Linked DNA regions of Mytilus edulis. The protein of the gene in region 2 purifies or fractionates together with the protein of the main gene of each other region. This does not show direct contact. Links are inferred from orthologs where the notes say so. Each region holds a gene or a part of one and is shown on either strand. Other genes may lie near its edges. The genes, in order: serine/threonine-protein phosphatase 5-like, heat shock protein HSP 90-alpha-like and activator of 90 kDa heat shock protein ATPase homolog 1-like.

Evidence for each region.
Region 1: the proteins of heat shock protein HSP 90-alpha-like (region 2) and serine/threonine-protein phosphatase 5-like fractionate together in Caenorhabditis elegans (co-fractionation; 3 studies listed by BioGRID). This does not show direct contact. The link is inferred for Mytilus edulis from reciprocal best matches to the Caenorhabditis elegans genes hsp-90 and pph-5.
Region 3: the proteins of heat shock protein HSP 90-alpha-like (region 2) and activator of 90 kDa heat shock protein ATPase homolog 1-like fractionate together in Caenorhabditis elegans (co-fractionation; 3 studies listed by BioGRID, with this or other methods). This does not show direct contact. The link is inferred for Mytilus edulis from reciprocal best matches to the Caenorhabditis elegans genes hsp-90 and ahsa-1.

What each region holds. Positions count from the first base shown.
Region 1 is NC_092346.1:74,708,368-74,719,471, forward strand, and holds the start of serine/threonine-protein phosphatase 5-like, read left to right. Parts: upstream 1-6,644; 5' UTR 6,645-6,680; coding exon 6,681-6,813; intron 6,814-11,104.
Region 2 is NC_092346.1:2,378,562-2,389,290, forward strand, and holds the start of heat shock protein HSP 90-alpha-like, read right to left. Parts: upstream 4,077-10,729; 5' UTR 3,940-4,076; intron 1-3,939. UniProt on the Caenorhabditis elegans protein: Molecular chaperone that promotes the maturation, structural maintenance and proper regulation of specific target proteins involved for instance in cell cycle control and signal transduction. Undergoes a functional cycle that is linked to its ATPase activity.
Region 3 is NC_092346.1:44,561,413-44,571,968, forward strand, and holds the start of activator of 90 kDa heat shock protein ATPase homolog 1-like, read right to left. Parts: upstream 4,114-10,556; 5' UTR 3,980-4,113; coding exon 3,900-3,979; intron 1-3,899. Other genes in the region: probable ATP-dependent RNA helicase DDX52, read left to right, coding at 4,246-4,332, 5,463-5,586, 6,369-6,559, 6,980-7,165, 7,735-7,878, 8,410-8,512, 9,253-9,325, 9,718-9,787.

The DNA.
Region 1 (11,104 bases), about 72 Mb from region 2:
ATATTTTTTGTTGCAGTAACTGCTTTAATCTGTTTGAAACATAAAGAATAAATTATCACTGATATGTTTGTGTTAGTTTAATTTCTGGGATTTTGTTTATCTCCCTTTAACCAAGTTGATTAGCATGACTAAGGTGTGCTGTTTTTGACCTCATCAACAATGTATGAGTTCAGTAAGCACTTATGATCATTTAATGGTAATTGGTGTGCAGTTGTATTAGCATTGGCATTTATCATTTCCATGGACATTTTTTTATCTGGATCTTCAGTCATGATTGACTTAAAATGTTTGGATGGTTCACATGTTCAAGTACTGCCATTTTAATTACAACAATTGCATTTTGTTATAAAAATTACATGAAGGTGAAACATATGTCTCTGGATACCTGGCAACAGTTTATCTTTCTGTGCAGAAGACTATGAAATATCGACCAGATAAAAACTAAGTGAATTCCAAGACATTAATGACAGCATTTACTCAGAAATCTAGTTAATATCAAAAGAGATGTGGTATGAATACCACAACTAACCACAAGAGACCAAATGACACAGAAATTAACAACTATAGGTCACCATACAGACTTAAACAGTTACCAATGTTCATGCCGCTTAGTCAGCTATAAAAGGCCCTGAAATGAAAATGTAAAACAATTCAAACAACAAAACCAAAGGCCTAATTTATGTACAAAAATGAACGTAAAACAAATATGTAACACAGAAACAAACGACAACCACTGAATAACAGGCTCCTGACTCGGGACAGGCACATATAAACATAATCTGGCGGATTTGTTTAAGCACATTGACCATAGTGAGTATGCTTAAATTTGTTTCAGGATATTGACCATAGTGACTAGGTTATACGATTGTTTGATTGTTTAACTTCACTTTGAGGACACCCAGCTACATAAGTGGTAGAGAGTGGGAAAGCTGGTGATCCTGGATATAGAACCATCAACCTCTCATCAGGAAAACTAGTGCAGTTGACAAAAAGACTGAATATTTAAAAGCTTTTTATCGATTAGAAAATAGACAGGTAACCAATGGATTCAACATAAAATGTGAAGACGAAGTGAAACTTCTCGGTGTAACAATAGACTTTAAACTGGATTTCAACACTCACATCTCAAATATTTGCAAAAAAGCTGCACGACAACTAAACGTTCTAAAAAGAATTGGCACTCATCTCACCAGACTTTCAAAACTTACAATATACCACTCATTTATCATGTCAAACCTCAGCTACTGTCCTCTTACATGGCACTTCTGCAGTGAACAAAACACAAAGAAAATAGAAAAAATACAAGAAAGAGCACTCAGATTTATTTATGACGATTACACAAATTCTTACAATACACTTCTTGAACAATCTAAGCTACCAGCACTAAAAATCAGAAGATTGAGAACCATGGCATTAGAGACATATAAAATAATAAATAAATCAAGTCCAGAATTCCTACATAATTTAGTAAATATCAAAGAAAATTCATATAACTTCAGGTACAAAGGCATAGCAGATATACCACGGCCAAAAACAACAAGGTATGGTAAGAAAAGCTTTAGTTATGAGACAGCAAAACTCTGGAACTCCTTGCCAGATGGCCAGTTCAAAAATTTTATCTCCACCTGGTGTTTTTCAGAAAAATGTACATGCAGTTCTTGTAAATAATGTACTTACTTGCTGCCCCATAACTTGATCTCGAAGCCTGCTGTTTGTTTGCTTTTTTTTTTTATGTTTTATCTTTTTGCAGTTATTTTTATTTTTTATTTAACCATTTATTTCTTTTGCTTATGCATTACCTTTGCTATAGCTGCATGCAGTCTTTTGTTTGTGCTTAAAGTGTTTAAGTTTGCATGTGCTATTCTTATATAAATACTATGTGCTACTATATATGTGCTGATATTAGACATTTGTTTTAATATATCTTGCTTAGCTTTTATTCTGCATGTGCTATCTGTGTATTAATATATATATGTGATGTCTGTATGTTTGTGTTGTATGTGTATCTGATGTTATTACATGTATGTTTTGTTCAGTCGGTTAAAGAGCTCTTAAGAGCTCATGTTCTTTGTTATTATGTATATATGAAACCCCGACTTTAAATAAAGATTACTTTACTTTACTTTACTTTGTACCGAAGGTACGGATGGTTCTCTCTGGGCACACTAGCTCCTGTCGTGTTGCTCGTGTTAATGTAAGGTGATACTCTTAATCGGTAATAAGAGGACAGGTGTGTGGTTAACATAAGAATATATCCGACTTCATCTGTGAAACATATATTCCATAACGGTCAATCAATTCGTGATGGTGTCCATAACATTGACGAAAGGATGACCTCAACTTTGCCACTTTAAGCCCTCATCTTGTTAGCAGGAACATTCACCAGGAAAACCATAAAAAGAAAACCCAAGCTCTAGAATATCGCAGTCGTATCAACAAGGAGACATTTCATATGCGGGCACTGCTGGCATGTCGCTACATAGAAAAATGGAAAGCTCACAATGAGAGTCGGTTGATAACAACACTTTTCAACAAAAAAGATGATTGATATCAGCTTTCCCAGTCTATGAGGCAGACTTGACTCTGCTGCATCCTTAATCCAAAGTTCGAGGCGAAATCTTCTGTACCTAGTCAATAAACATTAAAGTACCATTTATATAGCGAAACGTGAAGTATGAAGTCTGCATAAACTACAATAAGGAATCAAATTGACCAAAAGAGGAGAACAGTGGGTTTCCATGGGAATTTCGATTGATTGTTGAAAAACGCCCAAACGTAACACATGTGTTGTCCAACAATTAATCAAGCTTTGATAATGTCAATTTTAGACAATTCTTTTGGAAGTAGGATTTATCTCTTTCTTAAACAAGTAAGTATGCTGGCCATCTTATTTTATGAAACAACACTTATTTTAATCGGTTAGTAAGTTTGTAAGGTGTAAAATAAGTTTAAAGGGTAGCAAAGTTCAATGTTTTATTTATACTATTGCAAAAGGAAGAGATGTTCATGGTATGTACTTCAACGGATCTTAGGAATATTATTTTTTTATAGAATCGACATCTGATGCCCAAGAGAGTAGGGATTTTATAGAAACTCTGCAGCCCGGTTTGCATTTAAAACTAATGTTAATAGCTTGGAAAGAGATTTCGTTGTAGATCCAGCATAATACCGTTATTAAACAGGACAATTTTGAAAGGTGTGGCATCCAATACAATGAAAAATTACCATAGATAGTTGAAACTCCAAAGTAAAATAAAATATACCTTTCATTATCCAGGATTTCCTCTTGGATAAATTTCTTTGATGGTACATATTAAGTTCCAACTGAATTATCAATACGTGATATTTTATCAGTTTATTAAGCAAAATATGTGATGTGATTTACACTCAAACTCGATATTGTTTTGGGCTTTTTCTAAGGGGAAAATTAAATATGTGTCACTATACAATTACGTATACTAACTTGTACCTGTTGTTAATGGTAATGTGTATCGCAATTACCTCGCAGCCTTCATCCATATTGAAAGAGCATCTAGTACGCCTGTTCTGTAACGACTCATTGAAATGTCAGCAGGCCAAAGGAAATAGAGTGACAGATATCATATATTTTCTTTATTATTAAGATTTATGACCCCTTTTGTAGCTATGTGTATTACAGAAATAACATCAAAACAGCAAAGATAAAGAATAATAGAAATATAACATTTATTACATATGCCAAAAGGAAACTCTGTTCAGTTATTTCATTAAGAGGGGCACTAGCTACGAGATATTTAAAAAAAATCAAAATAAAATTTAATGAAAGTGAAATAATATTTCTCTTTTAGCAGTCATAAGGTTCAATTTCGTCAAAATAAGCTTTCAAAACTCGATCATGAATTACATGTATCACTTACAAGGGAATAATCACACCTCATTAAAGAAATCATTAAATCTGTATTCATGTGACCTTAAATTTTTTGAAACTCCTTAGCTAGAGAACCTAGAAAAATCCAATTGCACGATTTTCCTTTATATATATATCTATATTTATGGCCAACGGAGATCTTCGAAGATCAACTCGATAGTTAATTAGACTGCTTCTAGATTAAAATACACACGAAACGAAACTACATATTCTCGAGCCAATGATTGAGATGGCCCAACGCCGTGCAGCACGCTTTATCAAGAGCAATTACTCAAGAGAGCCTGGAACAGTAACAACTCTTCTAGAAGAACTAAATCTAACACCACTAGAAATAAGAAGAAAAATAGCACCTATAACGCTCTTTCATAAAGCCATCCATTAAAGAGTTGCTATACCTATTCCAACGCACATTATAAAACCAAGAAGAACGTCGAGACTCCATCAACCAAACACTAAAAGATACGTACAAATCAGGCCAAACAAAGATATCTACAAATACAGCTTTTTCCCTAGGACCATCAGAGACTGGAATAAACTACCAGATGAACTATTAGAGATCGAGAGCAGTGAGGAATTCAAGACCAAACTCACCAAGCTCCTCTGTAGTGGATAGCAACACAGTCAATCGATACTAGTAGAAAATGTTTTTAGCACAATTTTGGAACCATTGGTTGTAAATATAGAAAGTTTATTGTCATGTTGAAGGACGTCAAAAGTTAAACTATACTTGAGTGATGGGTCGAAGTACCCTTTTCGAGTGACGACATAGAAGCTATGTCGTAGATGTAGATGTAGAATGCCCTGTAAATTGTTTATTTTAGACTTTTTGTAATTTGAATAAATGTTTTACATTGTTAAGAATAAATATGAGAATTTGAGTCAATTCTTTGAACATGAATTTGAAAGTTAGTGCCCCTTTAAACAAACCTAGAAAAATCCGATTGCACAAGTTCGCCGCTATCATTTATATCTATATTTATGTTCATATCGCTTATATGACCATCGGCAGTCTACGGAGGTAAACTTGATAGTTAATAAGATGGCGCCTTGGCTCAAATGCACACAAAACGATGATTCATATTATCGAGCCCATGCCTTTTAAATTGTTTTTTTAAAGACTTTTTTTGGCAAATTAAACTAAGGTTTTTGCAGAAATTCCACAGACTTTAATACATAGATTTTCGTTAGAAATAGAAAACATCAACTGCTCACTTGTTTGTCCATGATGTTTTAACGTTTATTTTTTTTTTTTAAGTCCTAAACAACCTTTATCATTCCACAAAACCTGGTGCTGTGTCATAAAAGTCAAGCGAACCCTAGAATGTGGTCCATATTTACATTTGTTTAACCCAATATCTTTATTTATAAATATGTTTTAAGGAAATCATTGCTAGCACTGCATGCTATCCTCTCAATATCAAGTATCAAAGGAGTAGGTTCAGTAAGACCCCTTTTTGGCCTCAAAATATAGCAGTTTTAGAAAATTGTGAAAATGTAATCGTTTAGATATTTATTTCAAAGTAGAATGCTTCTGCTACATAAATATGGGCTATTTTTGACAAAACAATGCACATATATCGGGTACTAGCATCATTAAGTCATGCTAAATTACTGAAATCTTCACAATTGTAGCATTTTAGTTAAATTTTAGACGGTTTCCGTCTGATATGAAAGTGGCCGCATTCGTGTTCATTCATAATATTGAAATGCAAGTTGTATTTGATGATAATACATAATATATATAAAGGTTGAGGATGAACACGGATGCGGCCACTTTCATTTTTGACTAAAATCATCTGAAAAGTGACGATTTTTGGCATATTTGATAGATTTTTCATATTTAAGCTTGAATCGGGGCGTTTTAAATGACTTATAAAGTTAAAACCTTCCCCATTAACTAATTGAATCAATTGAAAAAGACACTTTAAGTGTTTAGAAAGTGTCTAAAATCTTTCGTTAGATGAACTTGAAAATTGAGGCCGAAATCGGCCCTTACAGGACCTACTCCTTTTCAAATAATAGGGAAAGGCTGTGGATTTTAGATAAAATCTCTACCTGTTTAGCATTGAAAAACAAAAGGGCACATAACCTAAATCTGAAAGTGAAAAAAAATAAAAAAATACACGACCATTAAATTGATTGGTTAGTTTTTGAGGCCCCTCAATTGGGGGGTCTAGGTAGTCACATTTATATCGCAAATTTTTTGCCAATATAGTCACATAATCATTAATTATTTTTTTAAACAAAATAATCAAATAATTAAAAATACAGTCCTATTTTATCAAATAATCATGAAATATTTTGTCTGATAATTAAATTATCACTATAAAAAGGCAATGAAATCACAAAATAACAATAAAAAAACAACGAGGAGACTCGTTTTTAATACCGCTTTAAGCACTAATGTGCTAATTCGTGCTTTATATAAGTTGAGTAAGCAAGAGTGCCCTGAAAGAACCATTGATCTTCGGTAGGAAAACTGACAATCCGGGCTTTTTTGTCAGTTTATAGGATTGTGGATTCGGGCGCACCTGCCACGTGCGGATCGACTAGTAGAAGTGCACAATAATAGTTGATTGCAATATCAATCCACCGAATTTGTTTATCAAAAGGTTAAGAATTATGATGAGATAATCTAATGTATTTGTTGTTGATATAATCCGTGTAGTACTTTGCAGGAAGATTTTTTCATTTTCCGAGACCAAGAAAATTGTAAGCCTGCCCTCCATACAAAGTTTTGTAATGAGTTCTTTCCCTTTGATGTAACTCTTTCATGTTACTAAGCATGGATGCTGAAAATGTGGAAGAGAAGGAAAAAGAAGAGGAAATACTGAACAAACAATCACCAGAAGAACTTCAAGCAGAAGCAGAAAAGCTGAAAAATGCGGCAAACGAGTTTTTCAAAAGTAAAACAATATTCACAGTTATCCTTACGTATTCTTTGTCAGTTCTGTTTGTGCAAAAGATCAGATCACGAGTCAAAGCGAAATGAATCCCCAGTACTTTGGGATCTGTCACATCACGCTATTCTAAACAATACTAGTGTAAAATTATATTCCAGTAATGTAGCAGTATTTCTATATTTCGTATTTTACTGCTCTGGTATTATATAATGATCACCAGGTAGGTCAAAAATGAAGACTAAATTAAGGATGGTGGCAAGTAATTTTGATTTTCTTGTAAGTCTTCATTTAATGATTATTTAAAAGATGAATCTATTTATCAGACTTTTCTAATACTACACACAAACTTTACAAGTCTACACATCTAACTTATATAGGCTCAATTAGGCTTAAAATTATTATCTCCCTTGGCAAATATTTCAGTGATTTTTGGGGAAAGACGGCTTCAAGCCGTCAATCCCCTATGGGATTGACCAGAGTGACACTCCCTCACATCATTCATTTTGATTTTATACATGTTATAGTGTGGAAAACCCCCCAACAAATCTTACTTAGATTGAAGAGAAGGAGACCCAGAAATGAATAGTTTGACTTTAAACACTTTTTTACACATTTCCCTTCTGTTTCTCACAAAATTATCGTATCTTGAACTCTCCTTTACACTATTAACGCTTATTCTACAATCCGGAAAATAGTATGACGAGATATTCTAAATATATCCAACCTACATTGCATTTTATAGTGACGTCATTCTTGGAAGGTATCCGGTCGTTCCGGCCCCAAACCGATCCGGCCCCAAGTCAATCCGGCCCAAAGTCGATCCGGCCCAAGTCGATCCGGCCCACGTCGATCCGTCCCCAAGTCGATCCGGCCCCATAATAAAATATGAATAAAGTATATTCACTTGGAGGAATTTGTGACAAATTTGAACAGTATAAACGGAATTAGCGAAAAGTGTCGATGATGGATGACAACAGGTAGTAAGTGAAGTATTGGAGTATACTAGTTAAAGAACTATTTTTAATCGATACGAAACTGAGTGTTATTGTGTCTCTTTTTATAGCAGCTCTGAGGGGGGATAGGACCTTTATCTGGACTCCGGATTGGGTGTTTTTAAGCTCAGGATTTCGGGATTGACCCTTTCGGGATCTGGGAATTCTTTTTTTCGAATTTCGGGACCTCGGGATTTCGTGTTTTTAAGCCCGTGATTTCGGGATCAGGACCCCTCCTACACCCCCTCCCCCTCAGCTCTAACATATTTTAAAAAGTGAAGATATTTTCCATGTTTTACTCATCATAATGTCTTGTGTAACCAAATCATTAGTCTAGAATTGGTTTGTTTATTCAACAATTGTCTGATGATTGTGAACTAAGGTGATGTCACTCGTAATCACTTAATTCAATCAAATCCTGATTAATTAAAGTTACGTAATCAACAAGTTCTTTATAGTTTGATCTTTTGTTTGGTGTATATAATAATAATTAATTGTATTTATATAATCAGCAAATCAAACAACATTTCTCAATTTGAGAATTTTTAAGAACTTTAAAGAAAAACAATATTTGTGGTTATGTATCAGCTTGGGAATTGGCTTGTATCGTTGTGTATGTAACTATTTGTTATTACACAAGATGAAAGACTTGTTAGGATCACAGTCAATTGAAAGAAAATGCTAAATACTGCTGATTAATGTTGATGTTTGAATTCTTTATATACGTTTTAATATAATTATACCCAATAATCTTGAAAAGTTGTACTAAAAACATAATCAACCTAGTTGTTTTATACTCACATTATAATAAAAATCATAAACATTTATGAATTACAATTAATATATATCTTTATTTTTATTCCTTATAAATTTTTTTTTTATTGGGGCCGGATCGACTTTACATATGGGCCGGATCGACGTGGGGCCGGATCGACGTGGGCCGGATTGACTTGGGCCGGATCGACGTGGGGCCGGATCGACCCGAAAGCTTCTTGGAAGAAGCAGGGATATCCTTCACCAGTTCACTGGTTTAATATTTCAATCATTCTTAGAGATCGTGCACTAATTACAAATTTGTATTTGTTAAATCTAAACATAATATTGTTTACTGTAGATGATTTAAACATCAACATACAATACTTTAATTTGTAGGTCAACAACTTTCAAAATCAACAAAGATCGTGGGGTTACATGAGACAGGGGAAAGAAATGATTTTATTACTTTTTTCGAGTCCTACTAATCAGAGACAAGAAGCGTCAAAAAGCGACAAGAAGCGTCAAGAAGACTATTTAGCGACAAGAAAAAAATATTCTTCTTGTCGCTTCTTGTCGCTAAAATTCTTCTTGTCGCTAATTAGTCAGACCACTTTTTCTGTAAAAATTCTGAGAATCTTCCTCCAATTCAGGAGCACCTCAATTGATGAGTAATTATCCACTAAAATAAAAGTTAATGTATTTAAACACTTCAAATGTAACATTTCATTGGATTAGTAGTCTTCTATTAAAACTAAATTTTTGTGTACCTACATAATCATTGTAATGGTAAAAAAAAAAATAATAAAAATTTGCATTTTGTAGTTTAAACATATTTATTATTTACAAATATTTCAAAATTAAGATTTGGAAACAAGCTTCACACAGTTTACATCTCTCATATTGTTTGTTTTTATTAGTACCTGATTCCCTGTGATGAGAGTTATAACTCCGAACTTCATAAAATTCATTGGAAATTTAAAACTGAATAGATTTTTCAGTCCACACTTTCTAAAGAAAAAACCTAAAAATCCAAGAGAACTGTCACAAAAAATGGAAAATCGCCCGAGCCTGCAGTTCAGTAGTACACAATCAAGATTTCAGAAAATATTGTAGTTGTTGTGAAATGACAGAATTCAGTTGAGTTTTATAATTAGCTATCAACTTTAATCAAATGTTTAGATTTAGAAGATGCAGATCTCTTTCATTGGTCCAAATTGAATCCTAAACTAAGGAAATGAAATTACATAAACAACAATTGATTTCAATATTGTCAACCTTTCTACATGTTCTAGCTGTTCTCTTTTTCATTCTTCATATGAAAACTATCAAAAGATACCCCCCTCCCTTTCCAAAAACATAATTAAATAGAAACAAGGGCTGTCTTTCCCCTCAGAGCTATTCAGCTCTTTGATTGTATTTCTTGCTTATACATCATTTAGAAGCACAAGTTGAAACTTTGCAAACTTATCATGGAAGAGATGCAGATATAACTATGCATCTTTTTTTCAATCTGTAAGTAGTTTGAAAAAATAATCCCATCTGATTCCCTGACACAAATGCCTGATTCCATCCAAATTTTGGTAAAAAACGGGACCATTAATATTGTATTAATGGACTTGAAATATGAGTATGTGTAAATATTTTTGCCCCACAAGAATAAATGTGAATGACTTTTTTGTGGGATTTTCTCTGTTTAAACATTGGTCTACTGTATTTCTAACTCTTACATGTCTTAGTATTGCCACATGGTATTAATGAAAACATTGACCTTGAAGAGGAATGATTGCAGTATGAGTGGTAAAGGGGAAATTTACAATATCTTATTTTGATAGTTTCATTATCTAGTATTTCTTGTGTTCATAAATTTATAGAATTTTCATTGTACTTTTCTTTGCAAATTATTCAGTGCTTTTAATTATGTAAGGTGCATTTTACAGTTGTTGTTATAAATTACCTTTAAATGGTTGAAAAGTGGATATCTCATAGGGTAGCATACATGTAGTATACTTTGTTTTTAATTTTCCTTATAAAAGCATCGAAAAATATGTGTTTTTTTGTAAAAATTTTTTTTTTTTTTTTACCTCTTCAAAGAATGGAGGATTTTTCTTCATCTTAAACACATCTTTTTTGTACCCAAATATACAAAGTCATGTACATGTAACATACACTGAAACTGTTATATTAAAATTGATTAATTGGTGCATGGTGATTGCTTTACACTGCATCAGCACAAAAAGACTGTTTCACGGCTATAGATGAAACTCAAATAAACATAAATTAAAATGTTTTATTGCATTTTATGAGTTTGGACCAGGTAATAAACAAATTGTGCACATTGTCTCTCGTGATAATTGTGACCCAATTATTGATTAAATACATGTACATATCAATTATTGATTAAATACATGTACATATCAATTATTGATTAAATACATGTACATATCAATTATTGATTAAATACATATCAATATTGCTCTGTCAGACTAGAATAGACCATCCTTCAAGTCTATTATTTACAGTACAGATTGTACAATCATCATAATACA
Region 2 (10,729 bases):
AAATAAAATTAAAAATGAGCCACAAAATGTTTTATCATCTCCTATTCCTGGATTTCTAATACTTTAACCTAACTGTTTGTGTTGTACATGTGCATATGTATGTAATCAGTATATTCCATAGATTTGATTTTCAAAAGTTAAAAGAGTGAAAATAAATTCCTTTTATGTGTATCCATGGCAACATTCTGCATTTATTTACCATAAAATATTGCAAAAAGGGGGGTGGACATGTCACATATCCCCCCAAAATTTGGATCAAACTAGAATTTCAATGCCTTTGAGTAATACCTTTTTAGAAACTGTTTTCATAAATCTTCCTAATGATCAAATAAAAAATGGGTGTCTTTCGCCTCATTTTTTCGTAAAATCCAATCACAAAGTTCGTGCGATAAAAAGTTGGAAAAAAACATTACAATAATTGCCGGACCAATGTATGGTAGGGACATGCAAATACGGACTGTCATACAAAAAACAGCCTATATTACATACATTACATACTCTTGATGTTCATATAAACCCAATACAAAGGCTATTTTAATACTCAGCTATCCAAAAATGAATTTTATTGCACACTAGCTCTCATATTTGAAAAATCCACAGGGGACAAAATGCGAAACTACACACCTAACTGTGGAGTGCTACCCTAGGCAGTCAGTTGGCCCTCACTTATAAAAATTTCTGGATCCGCCACTGTGATATGAACATGTATGACACAAACTGTTAGGTTCATGTAGTAGAAAGCTAGGAATAGATGATTTTAATTTTATTTTCTTACTGTGGAGTACTGAGCTAATGTGTTTCCCTCGGTTTTATTTTGTAAACCGGATTTGTTTTGATTTGATTTATGACTTTTGGGCAGCAGTATACTACTTTTGCCCCTATCTATAACATACGATTTCATTTGTTTTATATTACCTTTGAAGCTTTTATTTTGCTTGTGATGATAATAAAGCAATATGATTGATTACTGGGTGTTTCAATAAATCACGGCTTCATAGAGCCATGCATACCAAGATGTTGTGTGTGGTGTTTTTTTTAAACGATTGTGTGATGATACGCATCTTTGAGAAGAGAAAATCTGAAATCAAAATTGTCCTAGCGACACCAGTGAATCAAAAAAGATTTTGTTTTATGTCATCATATACTGATTGGAAATGCCTAGCTAGCCCGGATGAAATTTTAAATTTGTGGATTTATTATGAACATATTAAACAATTAAATTAAATCAAAATTAATGTGAAGTCGTTCACATTTTGAATTGGTTGTATGGTCACATAACTGGTACTTATGCTATGATAAAGTGATATCAAATACTTATCGTGACAATTTATAACAAGCCGTCAAAGACTTTTTATGAAGTGTAGTCTGAGCAAATGAAAATGACCCTGATGCACCAAGGTGCAAACCAAGATGTTTACACTCAACCAAATTGTTTTCATAAGACAATTTTTCACAAATGTGTCTACCTGCTTTGTTGAATATCCGAACCTTTGGGTTTTTTATATTTATTTTTTAATGTGTATTTTCCAGGATGTTAAGTCTTGTTTGCAGTCTATTAATTAACAGATGTTGATCAAAGGACCAATTAATTAAGTCGTCTAGCTGCATACAATAGCAATTCACTGGTTTATCGTTTAAAAGTATAGCAGGGTCTTCATGCACTTTCTTGTAAATACTCCGGTAATTCATCTATGAATAAGTTAAACTTTAAACGACTGCAAACCGCGCGAACGATAACTAGTAAAGGCAAGTATGGACACTACATTCAAGCTTAAAACATCTCTAAATATGATCAAATATATGTTCCTCCTGAACATGCATGAAATATTTTCCACTGGACGTTACGCAATGAATACTGATCAAATATCAGGCAATCAATCTCTGAATTTAGATCGTGATTAAATATTTGACACAGCATATGTTTCTTGCACAGCAAATGATGTGGTAAAAAAAACCTGAAAAATTTGAAATTGGACCTTTATTTTTGTTATTATGGTCCCAGGGGGGCGGATCCAGCCATTTAAAAAGGGGGTTCCCAACACAGGACAAAAAGGGGGTCCAACTATATGTTCCCATTCAAATGCATTGATCGTCCAAAAAAGGGGGTTCCACTTGAACCCCCAGAACCCCCCCCCCCCCCCCCCGGGATCCGCCACTGGGTCCAATGTCCAAAATTGGTACTTGGTTATAGATCGATTCATTATATGGTTTAATTTAAGATTTAAATTATTTAATTAGCAAAACAGTGAAATTTATATTTTACACCTCAGTAATCACACTGGTTCAAACTAGATTTTCATTAGTATAAACTCTTGCATTAAATTTACTCACTATATTATTTCGCTCTTTTTATTGGATATAAACTTTTCCTTATTTGTTAATTGTTTATTTATACTATTGCAAAGTGTTTTCTTTACATTTTTGAATTTGATATTACGTTGAAATGACCCACCCTTCCTCCCTTGTTAAATTTTCAGCTTATTGTTTTATAAAACATAAATTATGTGTACCTGTCACGTATAGACAATTTCAGACAATATTGAGACAGTTAATTACTGAGATTGGTTTAGATGCTTGTTCATATTCTACACATAGTTTTAGGCGAGGGGGGGGGGGGGGGCTAGCTGGGCTTTTGCAGCCGAAGTACCTACTGAATTAATTCAATTGTACGGAGATAGGAAAAGCGATGCTTATAAAAGATATTTAAAATTTTCATTAGATGATAAGATTTCAGTAGCAGAAAAGATGACGGCACATATTTCAGATGTTTTATTATAAATTTTTACAGGGAATTTCTTTGAAAAAAGGGCGACCATTGTGTCAGCGTCCATACCTAAATATGTTAGTGGAATAGATGGGTGTACAACTCAGGCCTTTCCTGGTGCCACTATTGGTCGTCTTACTGAGTTAATTTCATCTGGGAAAGTAGATTTAATTTCATTAGATTTCGTTATAGTTCATGTTGGTACTAATAATATTTCTTCGTCTCAATCCGTAGATACTATTATATCATATTTCGAAGATTTAATTCACAAGTTAAAAAAGATGACATTTGCTAAGTTGATCTTTACTTCTATTCTTCCTAGACCAGTTGATCACATGAAAACTGGAGCTAAAGTTAATAAAGTTAATACTGAGTTAAAAAGATTGTGTAAAAGAAATAATTTATTATATTGTAATTTGTATAGGAGTTTCTTACTCGACAATATTCCAGATGCTTCCTTATTTGCTCCGAGAGATGGGCTTCATTTGAATTTTGCTGGTACAGAACTTTTCAGAAAAAAGATAATCAATAGTATTAAGCATCAGAGTATATAAATTGTAATGTGTTACAATTGTGTTTTTTATTTACTTCATACATGTATATTGTTTACTGTAATTATTCTTTTTTCTCTTTTCAGAGAACTTGCATCCTGAATATGATGCTGGTTTTCCTCTAACTACTCAAGATCTACATATATTTTGAGTTGGTTTGCTGTTTTGTCCTTTCATTATCTATACACATTTTGAAAGGATGGAGCTTATTTGAAGTGAGAAAAAGAGTGATGATAGTATGTCTGGTTTTTATCATCATTATAACTGTTTTGATAGTTATTATTTTATCTTTAATTTTTTTTGGCGGCCTTGCAGGCTTGGCGGATGTTTGCCAAAAAATTTGGTTATATATCTATGTTTATGTATTTTCATTTGTGTATTTAATTATTTATGATATATTGTATTTTGTAATATATTGAAAAAATATTTATATCAGGCAATACAAATTATACCTATTGACTTCCTTTTATTTCACCCACTTGATAATTACAAGTACATACAAAATTTTATTCATTTCATTTTTTTATTGAAGGACACAGTCAGAATCAGATAATATACAACAAAAAAACAACTTTCAAAAAATCATTGAAACATTGAATATGTTTAGAAACTCTATAAACATACCTTTATTTCAGTATTCCTGACGCTACTATTTCTACAATGATCTTTATTCACAAATACAACTGCGCTTTTTTATATATAGTCTATATATACGATTCGAGAATCAAAAGAACATTCTAAATCTAGAAAAATCTATAAATAACGAGAACATTTCTATTTTAGTAACAAGGTGAATTCCACTTTTCTGAAACATAAATATAAACAATGACTTTCACTAGTCTATCCATCTCATCTAGGATATTCTAGCACGATTCATTCACGTTACAGTTTAGGTTAAATAGACAATGTCAGATAAAAGTCAATTAATATCTTCATAAGTGTGTACTGCTCTTTATGTCTTTTATGGACCCTATATGGTATTTGGAGGGAAAACAATCTATAGTCTGTACTATTAGCAACACTGACGAGGCCAACGAAAGTCTTTCATGTATGTTTCCAATTGTTATTTTATCTTCTTCATTGTACTTTAGGCCACGCTTCTTTGTTGTCTCTTTTTTAAAGCATTGTCATATATTATCTCAGTATCCTTTTCCGTAATCTGTTTCTGTCAAGTCGATCCTCATTAAGGGAAAGACCGTTTAATTTAAAAAAAAAAAAAAGAAAAAAAAAGGGGGGGATGGGTTATGGTTGTTTTCAAAACAAAAATTGATCCCCAATTTGATGACAAAAATATATTGTGTGACAGATATAAAATATTCTTGAACAAAAAAATCGAACTTACCATGCAATAAACCTTCTTTAGCATATTCTGAACACGGTTTAATGTTTTTGTAGATAACTTACAATTTACCAGATCTTATTTGACCATCTCGGCTACTACTAACTGACATATACACCCAATTTTTCAACTTTGAAAGGTTGCTCTTTATCAGCACAATGTCCCCAACCTTACCTGTAGCAAGTGTTGCACTTAATTATTCCACTCCTAAGCTTAGTTTGTTGACAGTCCTTTTATGTAATTGTAGAACAAGAAGATACTCATCTCTCTATGCATATTAATTAAGATGTTTCTGTCCTTTATTCTTTGTCAATAACAATTGTTGAGCACTACTGATTTGATGTAAACATTCTGGATCTGGGAAACCATCTTCGTTATTACTTGGAAAGCCTGTTTTGGGGTTTAGAGTTGAAAATGTGCTGGTGTAAGAGTTATATATGAAATCATGTTATCCCCAACTTATATATACAGGTAACTGTTTCCGATTGAACATTCGGCTAAAAAGTAAAATCACAAAAATACTGAATTCCGAGGAAAATTGAAAATTGAAAAGTTCCAAAGTAAAAGTTCCTAATCAAATGGCATTATCAAAAGCTCAAACACATCAAAAGGAATGGATATTTGTCATATTTCCTGACTTGGTACACAAATTTTCTTACGTAGATAATGGTGGATTAAACCTGGCATTGATAATCCAAAATGTTGTGCCAAATACGGCTAAGGCAATCTATGCCTGGGATAAGAAAATCCTTAGTTTTTCGAAAATGTCAAAGTTTTGTAAACAGGAAATTTATAAAAATGACCACATTATTGATATTCATGTCAACACCGATGTGTTGACTACTTTGCTGGTGATACTCTCGGGGACGAAACGTCCACCAGCAGTGGCATCGACCCAGTGGTGTAAATAGTTATCAAATTAAGGTACCAGGGCTAAACCTCTCACGTGTATGACAGTCGCATCTAGTTCCATTATATTGACAGCGAGGTGTGAACAAAACAAAAACATATTAAAATAAAATTGATAAAAATGAAAAAAGTTCTAAGTTGGTTCTAAGAGTTCTACGTTGGTCATTTGTAAGACATAATTTTTCAATTGTTTTCTGTAAACATTGTTCATAAAAATCAAAGAAAAAGACATACAGATAGATAATTGTACACAAGACACAACATAGAAAACAAAAGACTAAGCAACACGAATCCCAAATAACTGGGGATGCCGAATCTCAGGTGCTCCGGAAGGGTAAGCAGATCCTGCTCCTAATGTGGAACCCGTCGTGTTGCTCATGTTATTACAAACCCGGTAAATAGTCTAATTCGCTAGGTCACATTCGTGAAAAGGGCAGGGGGTTGTAGTTACGACATAATGAACATATCCGATATCATCTGTGAAACCCTTATTCCATAATGGCCAACCAACTCGTGATGACGTCTGTAAAATTTATCAAATCAATTGGAAGATATATACCCGTATGCAGGCACTGCTGTAATGTTGCTACATATATATAGATATGGAATGTATACAATTGTGAATCTGGAATCATCTCTACTTAAGTTTTGTTTCAACTGATCCTCATTGTAAATTTCTAGATGTAAGTCAAGATATGAGGCAGACTTAACTATCTGTTGTATCCTTTATCTCTAGTTCGATGGGATAGATGCATTCATCTTAGCAAGGAGGTTATATTATAATATAACCTCCTTGATCATAGTCACCAGATTTAGAATTATTTAATGAGAGAACATCATCTATTTAGCGGAAAGTAAAGTTATAGGATATTGATTACTTCTTATCTTTCTTGATCTTTCTTCCTAAGAAGTTCCCGTATGAAGTCGGCCTCATAATAATAAATAAAGGAACAAGTCGGCACGAAGAGGGGTATTATTGGTTCCCATTGGAATTATAATGAAGGTAAAATGAGGTAAAATATTTAAAGAAATAAATTTTAATATTTCATATAAAACTAAGTGAATCTTCTTTGTAATTGTAGAAAATAACTAATTCTTGTATAAAGCTTTTCGTATAAAAAGATATAATTAGAAAGTCTATAATGTTATGTAACTTTTAATATATATAAAAATGTGAAATTAGGTTTGACAGCTTAAACTCTTAGAAGTATTTCCTTTAGCAAATATGTCTAATTCTTTTCTAATGTTCACTTAGAATTCTATCTAACAAAATAATCCGATTTCCGTAATGGTCGTAAAAACAAAGTATTAAGTAATTAAAAATAGTAACCCCAATTTATGCAAAAATGCAAATTAGATAGAAAGATATCTAACCAATAGATGTCCTTATAAAAATAAGTATTCTAAAAGTCATTTTGATTGGTGAATAAAACAAGTCCAACCAGCACGTGTTCTTGGGGTTTAAAATAGGAAACCCTAAGGAATCAAACATTAATTTACTCGTATGGTTGGACTCGAAATAAACATATATTGACATCTTTGTTTTATTCACCAGGTTCGTAAACTCACAAATTTTGTTTAATGAAAAACATAACGTAACCTTAATAATCGTTTAATGTAATAATTTTATGACAGAAATCCTAAGTATTATTAAAGTTACCATAAATATAATGATAAGCTATTTTAATTAATCAATAAAATATTTTGATAAATGTTAATTCAAGTACATTTTAAGAACCAAACTCTCTTATTTCATATTGATGTATTTGATTAATTTACTCCTATGGTTGGACTCGAAATAAACATATATTGACATCTTTGTTTTATTCACCAGGAAGCCTCGAAAGAACGTGAACGATAGTTCCCCAAGTCGTCGTACTTAAAATATTGAAAAGAAACATGTAAAACAGAAACCAACAACAACTTAAACCCTTCAACGGGAAAGGGGAAGCAACCGCCTTAGTCTGCGCTTTCCCCCTCTTTCCCGCACAACAGAATGCCAACGGTCTAATGAAAACACATCCTCCAAACGTAAGACAAATATGTTGTCAATCAAGAAATCAAGCATCCTGATAATGTCAGTTGCAGAGAATTTTTTGTTTGAATCAGAGTGATTCTTTATAAAATAGGTTGTATCCCCTCCCTAAGACAAGATACTTGTATCTACGTTAGACATTCTTTTTTATGAAACAAATCAATACCAATAAAATGGGGAATGTGTCAAAGAGACAACAACCCGACCATAGAAAAAAACAACAGCAGAAGGTCACCAACAGGTCTTCAATGTAGCGAGAAATTCCCGCACCCGGAGGGTGCAAAAATGCGGCGGGGTTAAACATGTTTATGAGATCTCAACCCTCCCCCTATACCTCTAGCTAATGTAGAAAAGTAAACGCATAACAATACGCACATTTAAAATTCAGTTCAAGAGAAGTCCGAGTCTGATGTCAGAAGATGTAACCAAAGAAAATAAACAAAATGTAATAATACATAAATAACAACAGACTACTACCAGTTAACTGAATGCCAGCTTCAGCCTTCAATTAAACTGATTGAAAGATTATGATTTCATCATATGAATATCAGGCACAATCCTTCCAGTTAGGGATTTAGTATCATACCATCATAACATATAGGAGAAGAACATAACCCGTGTCATGCCATCAACTGATTTTTGAATAAATGTGTTTAGTTCCGATGCAAAGACCCTATAAGTGAATCAAAATTAACGCCAAAATATGCAATCTTTAAAGACCTGACAACAGTATCGTAATTATATCCCTTCTTAATAAGTCTATTTGAAGGTTTTTGTTAGTTTCTGAGGTGAATACTGACATTTTTGTGCTTTATAAAGAATATTTCCATAAAAAAATGGGTGTGAAATACCTGAACTCTTTCAATATTTCTTTTAGTTTGGAATGGGGAATACTTGTGTAAAGTGTAGAAAAGTCAAATGTTTTAATACTATTGCAAGATGAAAGAGTCTTAGATTGTATGTACTCTAAAAGATTTTTTTGAGTATCCATGCACATCTAATTCACGCCACCTCTATGAAAGGCATTTTTGATTGCTGATAAAACAAATGTTAATAATTTAGAATGATACAAAATGATAATATAAACGTCTAGGAAAGTAAACTATAGAAAAGGTTTTTTTTTTGTTATTCAGGACCCATGTGTTCAGTTTGCTCCTACGATACTGTTCGAAATTTATGAGGACGAAGATTTAGGACACATTAATGAGACAGGCCTGTCTAAGTATAAGATAAAATAAGAATTTTATTAATCTAATAAGAACGCATAAAGGGCCTCATTTTACAACACTATTATGACAATATGATTGGAAAAAGCAAAACAGAAAAATAATACCATACTATAACGATATGGACAGGATCAGAGCCTGACACAACATGTGTCTTATATAACTATCATCTTAAATCTTATAACAATACAAAATTATTTCATATATTTTGTTTACATCTGGATCTTATTTATAAACCTTTAATAATGTAATTTCCTAGGCACATGAGAGTTGGTAAATGTTCATTTGTGAACAGCCAGAAATATTTCTTATCCTTAGGTAGTTCTTTAAAATTAGTACAAAAAGTGTTAACTTTATCAGATAATAAATTCCTCTGTTCGTTATATAAAGGACAATTTACTGTAAAATGGGTCTCATCTTCAAGAGTTTGATCCATGTGATAAGCAGTGATGCCATAGACGTTGAGTTCTCTATATGTATTTTTTTACTATATCTATCTTTCTCAATTCTAAGCGGATCATCAGCACTTATTCTCATTTTACATATAGCTCTTCTTATATTAAAATCGTTAATTGATAAATAAGTCTCCTTTACAAAGTCAGTATTGAGGTTGAAATAATTTTCTAATTTACTATTACCTTGTGATAAGGTTTCAGATCTTTTGACCAACCAAAATGTTTTAAAATTGTTACAAAGTTTACATTTTACAAATTTAATTAATTTATTGATCTTTGTATTTAAATTTTGTATATCAAGTGATTGAAGTACATATTTCATATATGAATACCAACAATTAATGTTTTCTGCACATTATGAGTGAAGTCTGCATACTCAACTTCAATACACTGATAGTTCCAACGTATTCGGTATTCAAAAGCTTGCAGCTGATATACTCCTACTCAGACTTCGTTAAACGTCACCTGATTCTGAGCAGAAAGTTGATGAACCAGGTATGTCAACGAACGTCTCGTCCTTTTTTCTAAAATAGTTCATTGGAAAGGAGTAAGGGAGCTACCATTTGATTTTTATGGGGGGGGGGGGGGGGGGGGGGGGGCTAGGATGAAAAATTGTGTCCTGCCTTTTTTTTTATTTGTAATCTCTGTCCTGCCTTTTTATTTTTCAGTCTATTCTGCCTTTTTTTTCCTTAGCTTATCCTGACTTTTTTTTGCCAAGTTACTCATCCTGCCTTTTTTTTTTTTTAACTCAAAATCCTGTCCTGCCTTTTTTTCAAATTTCATCCTAGCCCCCCCATAAAAATCAAATGGTAGCTCCTTGTTGATAATTTTTCTGTTTCAAATTCACAATTAATACACATTCAGTCCTGTCAATCTAGCATAAATTTGACCCTAACCTTGAAGAAATTGCAACAGAAGATTTTCAATCTGAAATTAAAACTGCTGATTTTGAGTTTTCCTCAAGTTAGATTTTATGGGACTTTTTTCTGTGTATATTTAATGCCATAGATAAGAACTAAAACATTTCTTCTTGCAATTAGGTTCAAACTTAGATTGAATGGACTAATAATTGTCTTTCACGTATAGATTCAGGGTACTGGCGTTTTTTATCATCTTAATACCGTGTAGTAATCTTTTATTTGTTTATTTATGAATTTAACTTACCTTAACTTTTACTGTTGTCAGTTTTCGGTGAAATCCATTTGACTTGACTCTTTACTTATACATCCTCTTATTGTGCAATCCTGTTATGGTATATTTTTATATTATTTTCTTTCATTTTTACTTATGTGCTTTGTCTGTATACATTTTTGTGTTACTTTGGTACATATGATGTGGTTCTGTACTTATACATCCCCTCATTATGTTATTGTGCTATGGAAAATTTGGTCTTTCATTGTTGATCATGTGCTTTTGTCTATATTATACGTTTCTTTGTTACACATTAGTT
Region 3 (10,556 bases), about 42 Mb from region 2:
ACTTGAAAACTGGGCCCATAATCAAAAATCAAAGTACATATTTAGATAAAGCATATCAAATAAGCCCAAGAATTTAATTTTTGTTAAAATCAAACTTAGTTTAATTTTGGACCCTTTGAACCTTAATGTAGACCAATTTGAAAACTGGACCAAAAAGTAAGAATCTACATACACAGTTAGATTTGGCATATCAAAGAACCCATTTATTCAATTTTTGATGAAATCAAACAAAGTTTAATTTTGTACCCCCATTTGGACCAATTTGAAAACTAGGCCAATAATTAAAAATCTAAGTACTAGATATATAGATCGATATTGATTGCAGGTACATGTACATTTGTACAAGGATAGATAATATTTATAAAGGTTGATGTTAATAATTTATAGTGGGAGTTTTTTTCTCATTTGCTTTTCCCCGACAAATGAGACTGTAAAAATTGGGGCCCCCTTAGTTGCTTCCCTGGGCAACTGAGGGTTGATGTAACAGGTGATTGTTAATAAAATATGTTTAATATTAAAAAAAAAAACAAAAAAAAAAAACAAAAAAAAAAAATAAAAAAAATCTAAGTACATTTTTAAATTCAGCATATCAAAGAACCCCAAGGATTCAATTTTTGTTAAAATCAAACTAAGTTTAATTTTGGACCCTTTGGACCTTAATGTAGACCAATTTGAAAACGGGACCAAAAATTAAGAATCTACATACATAGTTAGATTCGGCATATCAAAGAACCCCAATTATAATGCTTATTTGGGCCCTTTTTTTGGCCCTTAATTCCTAAACTGTTGGAACCAAAACTCCCAAAATCAATCCCAACCTTCCTTTTGTGGTCATAAACCTTGTGTCAAAATTTCATAGATTTCTATTCACTTAAACTCAAGTTATAGTGCGAAAACCAAGAAAATGCTTATTTGGGCCCTTTTTGGCCCCTAATTCCTAAAATATTGGGACCAAAACTCCCAAAATCAATCCCAACCTTCCTTTTGTGGTCATAAACCTTGTGTTAAAATTTCATTGATTTCTATTCACTTTCACTAAAGTTAGAGTGCGAAAACTAAAAGTATTCGGACGACGACGACGACGTGATAGCAATATACGACCAAAAAATTAAAATTTTTGCGGTCGTATAAAAATACGAATAAAACACTTATTTTGTATTTTCATTATAGTCCGATCAGGTCATAATTTTTGTTTTTTTCAACAAAGACGATTTTACCACAATTAGAACCTTTAATGACCTACTCAGTGAGCAATATTCGGTTCATTAATAGTTCAATATTATAAAATTAATATCAACTGGCTTAAAACAAAATGATGTTTTTACGGTAATTTGTCCAATCTAAATTAAACCCAAGAGTTAATTTATCGAATCAACAAGTGAACTCTGTTACTTTCAATTTATTTTGAAATGTAAAATATTATGTTTCACTACCTCGGTAGAATAAAATTTCCGACTTGAAATATTTGAATTTTAAAAAGAAACTGTAAAGTGACAAATAGTTTTGTATGCAATGTGGCAGCCCTATATTCATAAATACTGAGAAGACACAACACAATAATCACAACCTTATTTAATTATATGGAGAAAAGAAATCCTGTGTTTTTAATCTGTTATTGATCTTTAATTATTTAAAATAAAATTGGATTGGCGCAATCCGTATTTTACTGCTCGTTAAAACTCTTCGGCGAAATATAAAAAGAAGAAGTTCAACAATTTATACAATAGAATATTAAAATGAAATTATATCGTGTTCTACAAGAAAGAAATATGTAAAAAAAAAATTAGATCGGATTTTAACGATCGCCAAATTTTCACAGAGGTCTCTACCAACGCCCATCATGAACATGCATCCTGTTTTCGTATATCATTAATATATAGTGTTGACTATAGACGTATAAATAATGTCCGGTTTTATGTCCTCTGTTGACTGAGAAATGTAAAAATAAAAGGCTGATGTTGGTTTATTCAGAAAAGGAATATAATTTAGAATCCGGTTAATCAATTGTAAAAGGACCTTCTAGAGCCTCAATCTTAACGCACACAAATTTATGTCAATCATTACAAAGCAAGTTTAAACCTTGAATGAATTTTCCCACGGTTATCCAGAAAGGTCACCTGAGTTAACTGTTACATGATACTATTTCCCGCCAAATAAAAATCTCGTGGACAAAATTGATGTCACTATTTTTAGCATTCAATATTGTGAGCGAAGTCAAGTTCAAGTTCAACCACGCACTGTTGATCACTGAGTTGCGTATCGTCTTCCCACGGCAATTTATTGGTTTAGAAATATTTAAAGATTACTGTTCTAAATACAACACAAAAGTTTACATTCATTGTGCGTAAATGAATATTATGCAACGACGAGTTGATGCAGCTATAGAAGTATTCCTGTTGTAGCCGAAATGTATTATTTATCCTAAAGTAAATGCTAACAAATCGTGAAGAGAAAATGCTGTAGACTTATTAAGCATAGCGAATTGTGAATAATATTTTCTTTTTTTCTTGCATATACAAGTTTAAAGACACGTAATTTTCTTTCTTTCTTACATTTTATAACTTCAGCGTTAATTTTCGTCTATTTTCACGAAAGTATGTCTATTTTCGCATATTATATAAATTACCGATAAAAAGAACAAGAGATCATAATCAAGTATAGATTTGTTTCTATAAAACTTTACTGCAATTGAAAGCATTAACAACAATCTTTTGCTTTTTAAAACTTTCATTTTGTAATCGTAAAATGGAAATGGAAACTTATTAGCATAACAGATAGTGAATAATATTTTCTTTTTTACTTGTATAAAAAACTTTGAGACGTGTAATTTTTTTTTAAACTGTTCTTATTTATTCAACGTTAGTCTCCGTTTATTGTTACACAATTATATCTCTTTTAGTAAATTAAATATTTATTTATTGATAAAAAACGGAAGTCAAAATCAAATATAGTTTTTTTTAAACTTGATTTAAATGTACAGTGTAATTGAAAGAATTAACAACAACGTTTTGACTTTTATTTTAATCTTTCATTTGTTTCAAGCAATCAGATATAACCTGATAATCAATAGACAGGAAATACAATTGTTTAATTACATTAGAAATCTCGCATACCTTGACTGTCGAGTGCCGGCATAGATCAGAAGGATTAGGGCAATTAATTACCTGGTGTGACACCGCGTCACTCCAGACTGGGAGAGATGTCGCTAATACAATAAACAAAAGGTAACGGATTTACGCGGAAGTCGGAGGGAATACTCCCAAATTTCTCTGACAATTTAGGGAGTGATGTCGGAGTTTCCTGGTGTCACACCAGCAAAAAACTCGGTGTTTGGAGTTTGGGATGGCTTTCGCGAAAATTGAACTGTACTTAATCACAATTCCCTAATGATAGCTGTGCAGATTGTCAATTATGAGAATTTAATTTGCCGAATAATTTGTGCAATGTAGCTTTAGTTTTTCAACCACTCGCTCAACATTGAAATGGAAGTAACGACGCACATCAACGCACAAATGAGGTTCACTAAAACCAAAGTTTTCGACGGAACTCAAATGCATCGAACTCAAAAGTTGTCCATTGGCGCACATACTTCCCGATCACTGAAGGACAATTAAAAAATGACTGATTTTGCCTAATCATGTTAATAGTTTTACAAAAATAACAGTAACAATGATTAATTTAGAACTCTGACAAATCGGGATAAGGATATTTTAACGAATCTTGGTAAACATTTTAAACAATTTGACAGTGATGGAAAATGATTTGTAGATGCATGACAGTAAAGGGTAATGCCTACTCTGACATATGTAGCTCTTTTTTGTTATTTCGTTTTCAACTCATAAAAGTTTAGTTTCACAAACTAAGATCAATGCCAATGGCCAATGCCTAAACATTCATACCAATGCCAGTTGTTCACATTTGTTCCGTCTGGACGTTCTTCGACTATCCACCGTGGGTCTCCTTCTCCCCATTTAGCCATATTATCAAAATTATGAGTTTAAAGGGAATTTCAAGAAGTTAGGCCTGTGCACGTTATATGATAACTTGTTTCTGGAATAAACAACGGAAGTAGATATAAAGCGCTACGTATGGGGAGAAATTTCGAGAAGAACTGGTTTACGGTCAATGAGATAACATAGCAAAATTTATACTGGTAAATAAATTGAAGGGAGACAATTTTAGGAAAACTAGCCTCTTATACCACAAAATAATTTTTGTTTACTTCCGATTTCTAAAACAGCAAGCATGGAGGGACTGCAGCTGTTCAGAAAGCTTGGAGTTGGTGCTAAATTTGATTTGAAAAGATTTGGAAAGGATGCAGAGAAACTAAAGGCATGTCATATGGACGATTTAAAAAAAAAAACCTTTTACTGTAGTTTTAAACATATATATTTATTGTTAGTGGATTGGAAACAAGTTTTGCAACTTATATTAATCCCTTTCCATGTCTTTGTGTGTGGGAGTGCTGCCTTGTAGCTGCATTAACCTGCTCTTTTTTCGAAATCTACAAGGGTGTCTTTAACGTGCAAGAGATACAGCTCTCTCTTAACACGTGTCAGCCATTTATCGTCCCCTTCCGACAGACAATCATCGTTTCCTCAAGACCATACTTGCAAATGGTGTCAAGGGAGAGCCGAAAATTCAATCCCTGAAACTTTCAACGCAGAAAGGGGAATCGAAACCAGGAACCTTTGTGTTAGTGGTCCGATGCACTAACCACTACACCACGGCTCTCACTAAAAAAAACTTACATCAGATTACTGAAAAGAAACCCTGAATGGCCTGATTCAGTCTACAATTTCTACCATGACTTTGAACAGACTCTGAGCGAACGGACTCAATACTCATTTGAATCAAAAATCAATTCCCATTAATTAATAAAAATTATTTTTTATTTAGAACGGGTTCATGGTCTAGTGATTATGACCAATGGCTTCAGTACTGAAGGTCCCCATGGTTGGATTCTGACTCGGGTGCTAGAAATTTTCAGTACACTTCTCTGAGTTTAAACTAGAATGTGTACTTTAGGGGGCCTCATTTGGTCAAAGTTATCCCCTTCTTTGACCTGGAGATCAATCATCTGATATATCTCCAGTTTTTCTCTTTCAGCCGAGTGACCCAGGAGTTCTTCCAAGTACATAATAGACTTCCTGGTGTCCTAGCACTCAATTTGTGTAAGGATGGGGATTGCCCTGTAAAAAATGTTGTTTATACAGAAGTGATGCATCTCCATTAGTTATGATAAGGAGTGGAGTGTACATGGATTTTAAGTTTACCCTCACAGTGCTGGAGGGGTTAGTGGTGTTTCTTGCAAGAATGTCAATATGCACAATAAGAGTGTATCATGTGCTCTTGCTGCAACTGTTTATTTAAAATGCAGTGATTATTTATCTCTCATTTGTCAGTAGAAGATGTGGTTCAGATTAAAATATGTAACAATATTTCCATTATTCTACTTCCAGATTATTTCTAAGGATTTAAGCTTCCAAAATACAACATTAGAGAATGCAGACAGAAAAAAAACAAATGAGCTGAAAAGGAAAAATGTTCATGAAAATAGTACAGCTCTATTGAAAAAGGTTAAAGGTACATATTAGTTCCATTTATTATATGCATACATTAAAAAAAATCTTAAGATTTAAAACTATTTATGTAAACAATTACGTTTTTATGAATAAAAAAATTCTTGATCCTAAAAAAATATTCTGAGATACATATACATCATTCATCATTCATATACATGTTGAATATATGTACTGCAGAGAGCACAAGTGTCAGTATTAAATAAACTATTATATTATAAAGCATTTGTTTGAATTTGCCTGCTTTTTAAGTCTGTAACCTTGGTGAGAAAGATGTTCATGTTTAAATGTAATATTTTGGCTTTTATATTAAACTACCCCCTTATATAACCTTGACACTGTACAGAAATACAGTCTTATTGGACTATGACAAAAAGGCTAATGTCTAGAGGGGCTAAGAGGTGTTGATTTTCCTGTGTGAAATGTATAAACAAGCAGTCATGTGAAGTGAAATTTTGATTAATAGTTTATATGAGTTCTGCCAGCCTTGGTAACTAGAAGACACATTTATCATACATTAATGCAAAAATTATTATCTTGCTGGTATGAATAAATCCTCATGAACCATTTGTTTAAAATGTATTTAATTTGACTGTCAGTCTACGTGAAAATAATGTTTTATTTTTGAGTTTTCATTTGTCATGCTTGTACAGTAAAGTTTAAAACCAAACCATTCCAAAGTCAGGGATGCATAAATACATAGAAATGTTCTTCATTTGCATCAAAATAGAAATTTAGAATTTACTGTGCTATTGAATTTTCATAATATCTTATATTTATTTACAGTAGATTCTGAATCTGAATCTAATTCTGAATCCGATTCCTCCTCCTCTGAAGATGACAGTACATCAGAGCCAGAGCCTGAAACAGAGCTACAGATACTTGGGACAATCACATCTAAAGGGGCAGAACAAAGAAGGGAGAAGAAAAAGAAAGTCAAAACAAAGGAAAAGTTAGCAGCACTGCATCAAGAGGAGGTAAGCCATACCTGTATTCTCTTATACCTGATATTATTTGTAGAAAAATTATATTTGAATGAAGGAGTAAATTGATCACATTTTAGACAATATAATTCCCATAGATTCCATTTTCAAAGGAACATAGCTTATTGTTTTTCATCTAAAAGGCTTGACTTGTTTAAATAATATTTAGACAGTCCCTGACATCTTCTGTAGATAAAACTGAAAGGAGATAACTGGTTAAGTCTTCAACAAACATTGTCTTGCGTTGCGTAACAGTAGACAATAGAAATTTTAAATTAGCTACAGAATAATAGCCAATCACAGGTCAGCACTATCATGAGAAGCTGAAATTTTAATCTGAACTTTAAACCTTTTCAAATTAGATAACCTTAATTAATATAATACATTGTAGTCTAAAATTGCACTGATTTTCAGGTTAACAGAATACGAAATCAACATAAAATACATATTTATGGAACTGATAAGCCAGAACCATTGAAGAGTTTTGATGATCTTGTAACCAACTACAAAATGTCAGATGTCATCCTGAGAAATATTGCTAAAATAGGGTACACAGAACCTACACCAATACAGAGGCAGACTATACCAGCCATGCTGCATGTAAGCTTACTTATATAATATATATAAACTTGCTGTTCGGTGCACACGAGTCAAGGCTGTTGAATGCCGACCTTTAATGGTTTACTTTTTACAATTCTGATTTGGATGGAGAGATGCCTCATTGGCACTCATACCACATCTTCTTATATAGATATATGAGCAATTAATAGTTTTTCAAAATAATGAATTAAATAGGAAGAATGATACAAGTATGTGTGACAGACATATGTAAAAAAAAATAAAAAAAAATCATTATTTGTGTTGCATCAAAAGTACTGTCATATATGTACATTCAAAAAGAATTATTGTAATTAAATGTTGCCATATTGTAAAGTAGCCTATTTATTTTTTATAACTGTATGTTGACCTGTTGGTTATTTATGTCTTTGGGTTGCTGTAATTCTTGCTGTTAGGTTTTTGTGCATTGATTGGTACTCTTCGAGTTCTAGTTCAGGTTTCAACTCTCCTCCTTCAAATCCATTGTTATTGGACATGACATGGCATAAAATATAAAGATAGCATATGTATTTACAGTAAACGGTTTATACAATTTATTTTTTGCTTTACAGAGAAGAGAGATTATGGCATGTGCTCCGACAGGATCTGGTAAAACGGCAGCATTTATCTTACCAATAATACACCATCTAGGAAAACATAGCAAACATGGGTTCAGAGCTTTAGTGCTTGCACCAACCAGGGAATTAGCCAAACAAGTAAATAGACTCAAATTATTTTAATCATTACTTCTTTATAAGTTTTTGGATGCTAATGCCTTTAAAAATATTTGTTATGTTTTTTTCATTCTGAAGAGTCAAGTTTAGACAAAACCTTTCTTTTTTGTGTTTTGTGGAGCTACAACAGTAGCTAGTAACATTTCAACTTTTATTCCTGAAATTAAACTTTCTTTAAACTCTCGATGAAAGTAATGATCAATATCCTACCTGATGACATCACAAAATTAAAAACAAATTTATTGCAGATCATTAGAAAAGACAGATAAAGTTTGTCAAAAAATCATTAGAGAAACAGATCCCATCCCTGAATTTCATGCAATACAATATTCTCTAATCCTGAAAGTTAAATTCGGAATGTTTGAAGTTTTTAACTGTCTTGAGTGGAGCATTATTGTATCTCACTAATTACAGTCACTGTGAGTGTTTAGATCTATATATATATACACACACAAAGTTATCAGTGGTGTTATATCTGTCATACTAATAATGGTGCATGTTGTTTTTTTACAGATTTACAGAGACTTTCAAATGATATCAGATGGAACTGGTCTAAAGTTACATTATATAGATAAGACTGTCCCAGAAAATGAAGGGAAGTCAGTAAAGAAATTTGGTATGTGACTTTATTGTATTGAATGACTACTGCTCAATTAAAGATTCATATTTTTGTCGAGCTGGTACCATTTTGTTGCTGAAGATGATACACAGGGATCTTTTGTGTTTGGTTTTGTCAACATTCAGGTTTAGTCTGTGGTTTAAGTTTTTTTAAACATCAATACCTTTGTCAACTCTTCATGTTTGAAACTATGAAAAAAGCTTTTGTACGATCAGATGACAGTGCTAACAAGAGTCATAACATCAAATATGAAACAAAATGATTTATCTCCCTTGATCAAACATATCACAAATATTTATTATAGGCTGTTAATAATTAAATCAGATTTAGATTTTTATGCCCCATTTATGGGCATTAGGTTCTCTATCCTGTGCATCCGTCTGTTTGTTCAATTGTCTGTCCATCCATCTGTTCTGCTTCAGGTTAAAGTTTTTCAGTCAAGGTAGTTTTTGATGAAGTTGAAGTCCAATTAACTTAAAACTAAGTACACATGTTCCCTATGATATGATCCTTCTAATTGTAATGCCAAATAAGAAATTTTATCACATTTTCACGGTCCACTGAACATAGAAAATGATAGTGCGGATGGGGCATCTGTGTACTTGGGACACATTCTTGTTTGTTGATAATTTTGTCTTTCTACAGATTGTTAATATATTTCATGTCTTTGGTATATTGTTGACTTTTTCGGGACACAACAATAGTTTTGTTATAAATAGCAAACTTATATTTTGCAGATATTCTTGTGTCAACACCTAACAGACTGATATATCAGTTAAATCAAGATCCACCTCAGATAGATTTACACACGTAAGTATTAAAACAGATTTATTATTTATATTTACAATTGATAGAAAAAACAGAATGCTATGTCATGAAAGCTTTACTCATATATTGTCATGGTAAATATTTATAGATTGTGGTTGGTTATCTCAACGAGATTGATTTTCTCATTGAGCCGTTACGGCTGTGCTGAGAAAGGAAATTATCAGTCAGTAAGGTCAAAGGAAAATTTCGTAAAATAGCGATAATAGTAATTAGCAAGAGAAATTCAACATCATGGACAGAAATGCACATTTAGATATTTTGTTTATGGTACCACAAGTTTTTATAAAAATTTGATATCCAGATACTATAATGATCAGAATAAAAATGTACTAGAAGATTTGATATTAAAATTCTCTTTGTATTTTGTTTGACAGGGTAGAATGGTTGATTGTTGATGAATCTGACAAGCTTTTTGAAGAAGGAAAATCAGGCTTCAGGGATCAGGTAAAGTTTTATTAAGGATGTACTTAGGTGAGGTTTTGGAATTTGTATCAAATGTTCGGACTCCTTGGTGTTTTTCCATACAATACAATGTAAAATATTTTGCCCCATAACACCCATTCATTTTTTCATATAAGACTTAATAGCTCATTTATCAAAATTTTAGAAGATTCTTGATTTTCTTTCTTTTGTTTTGAGACCCAAATAATACCAATGCAATATAAGGTAAAAGCCTGAGTCAGCCTTTTCCTGCCATATTTTAAATCTCAAATATCTCGAAAAGGAGGTCTATGACCTATCATTATTTTTAGCTTATCTTTATCCTTAATTGATGCTCTACCAGCTTATAGTATCAATTTTAATTTCTTAATTTTTACCTAACCTCACCTAAGTACATCCTTAAGTTATTCAGGACGACAAATGAATGAAAGGTACTAGCGAGCAACTTTATCCTTCTATTGAACAAAGGGCAAGATAACAAATATTTTAAAGAATGTATTCAGTAACTTAAAAACTGAACTGTAACAAACCTGTTTAAATATTTTATTCTGACAATAACAATCTGCCTTAGAGGTCTTGACATAAAAAATGAATTTTACGGCAAATGTGACAACAATGCATAAAAGAAGTGAAGTGAAGTTTAAATCAGAGATAATATTCAAATATAATCTACGGTAGTTATCTTGATTGTAATATACTATGACATTTTCATTTCAGCATTTGATTCTTGTTTAAAATTAAAATTAAAAACAACACTATCAAATCAATGATT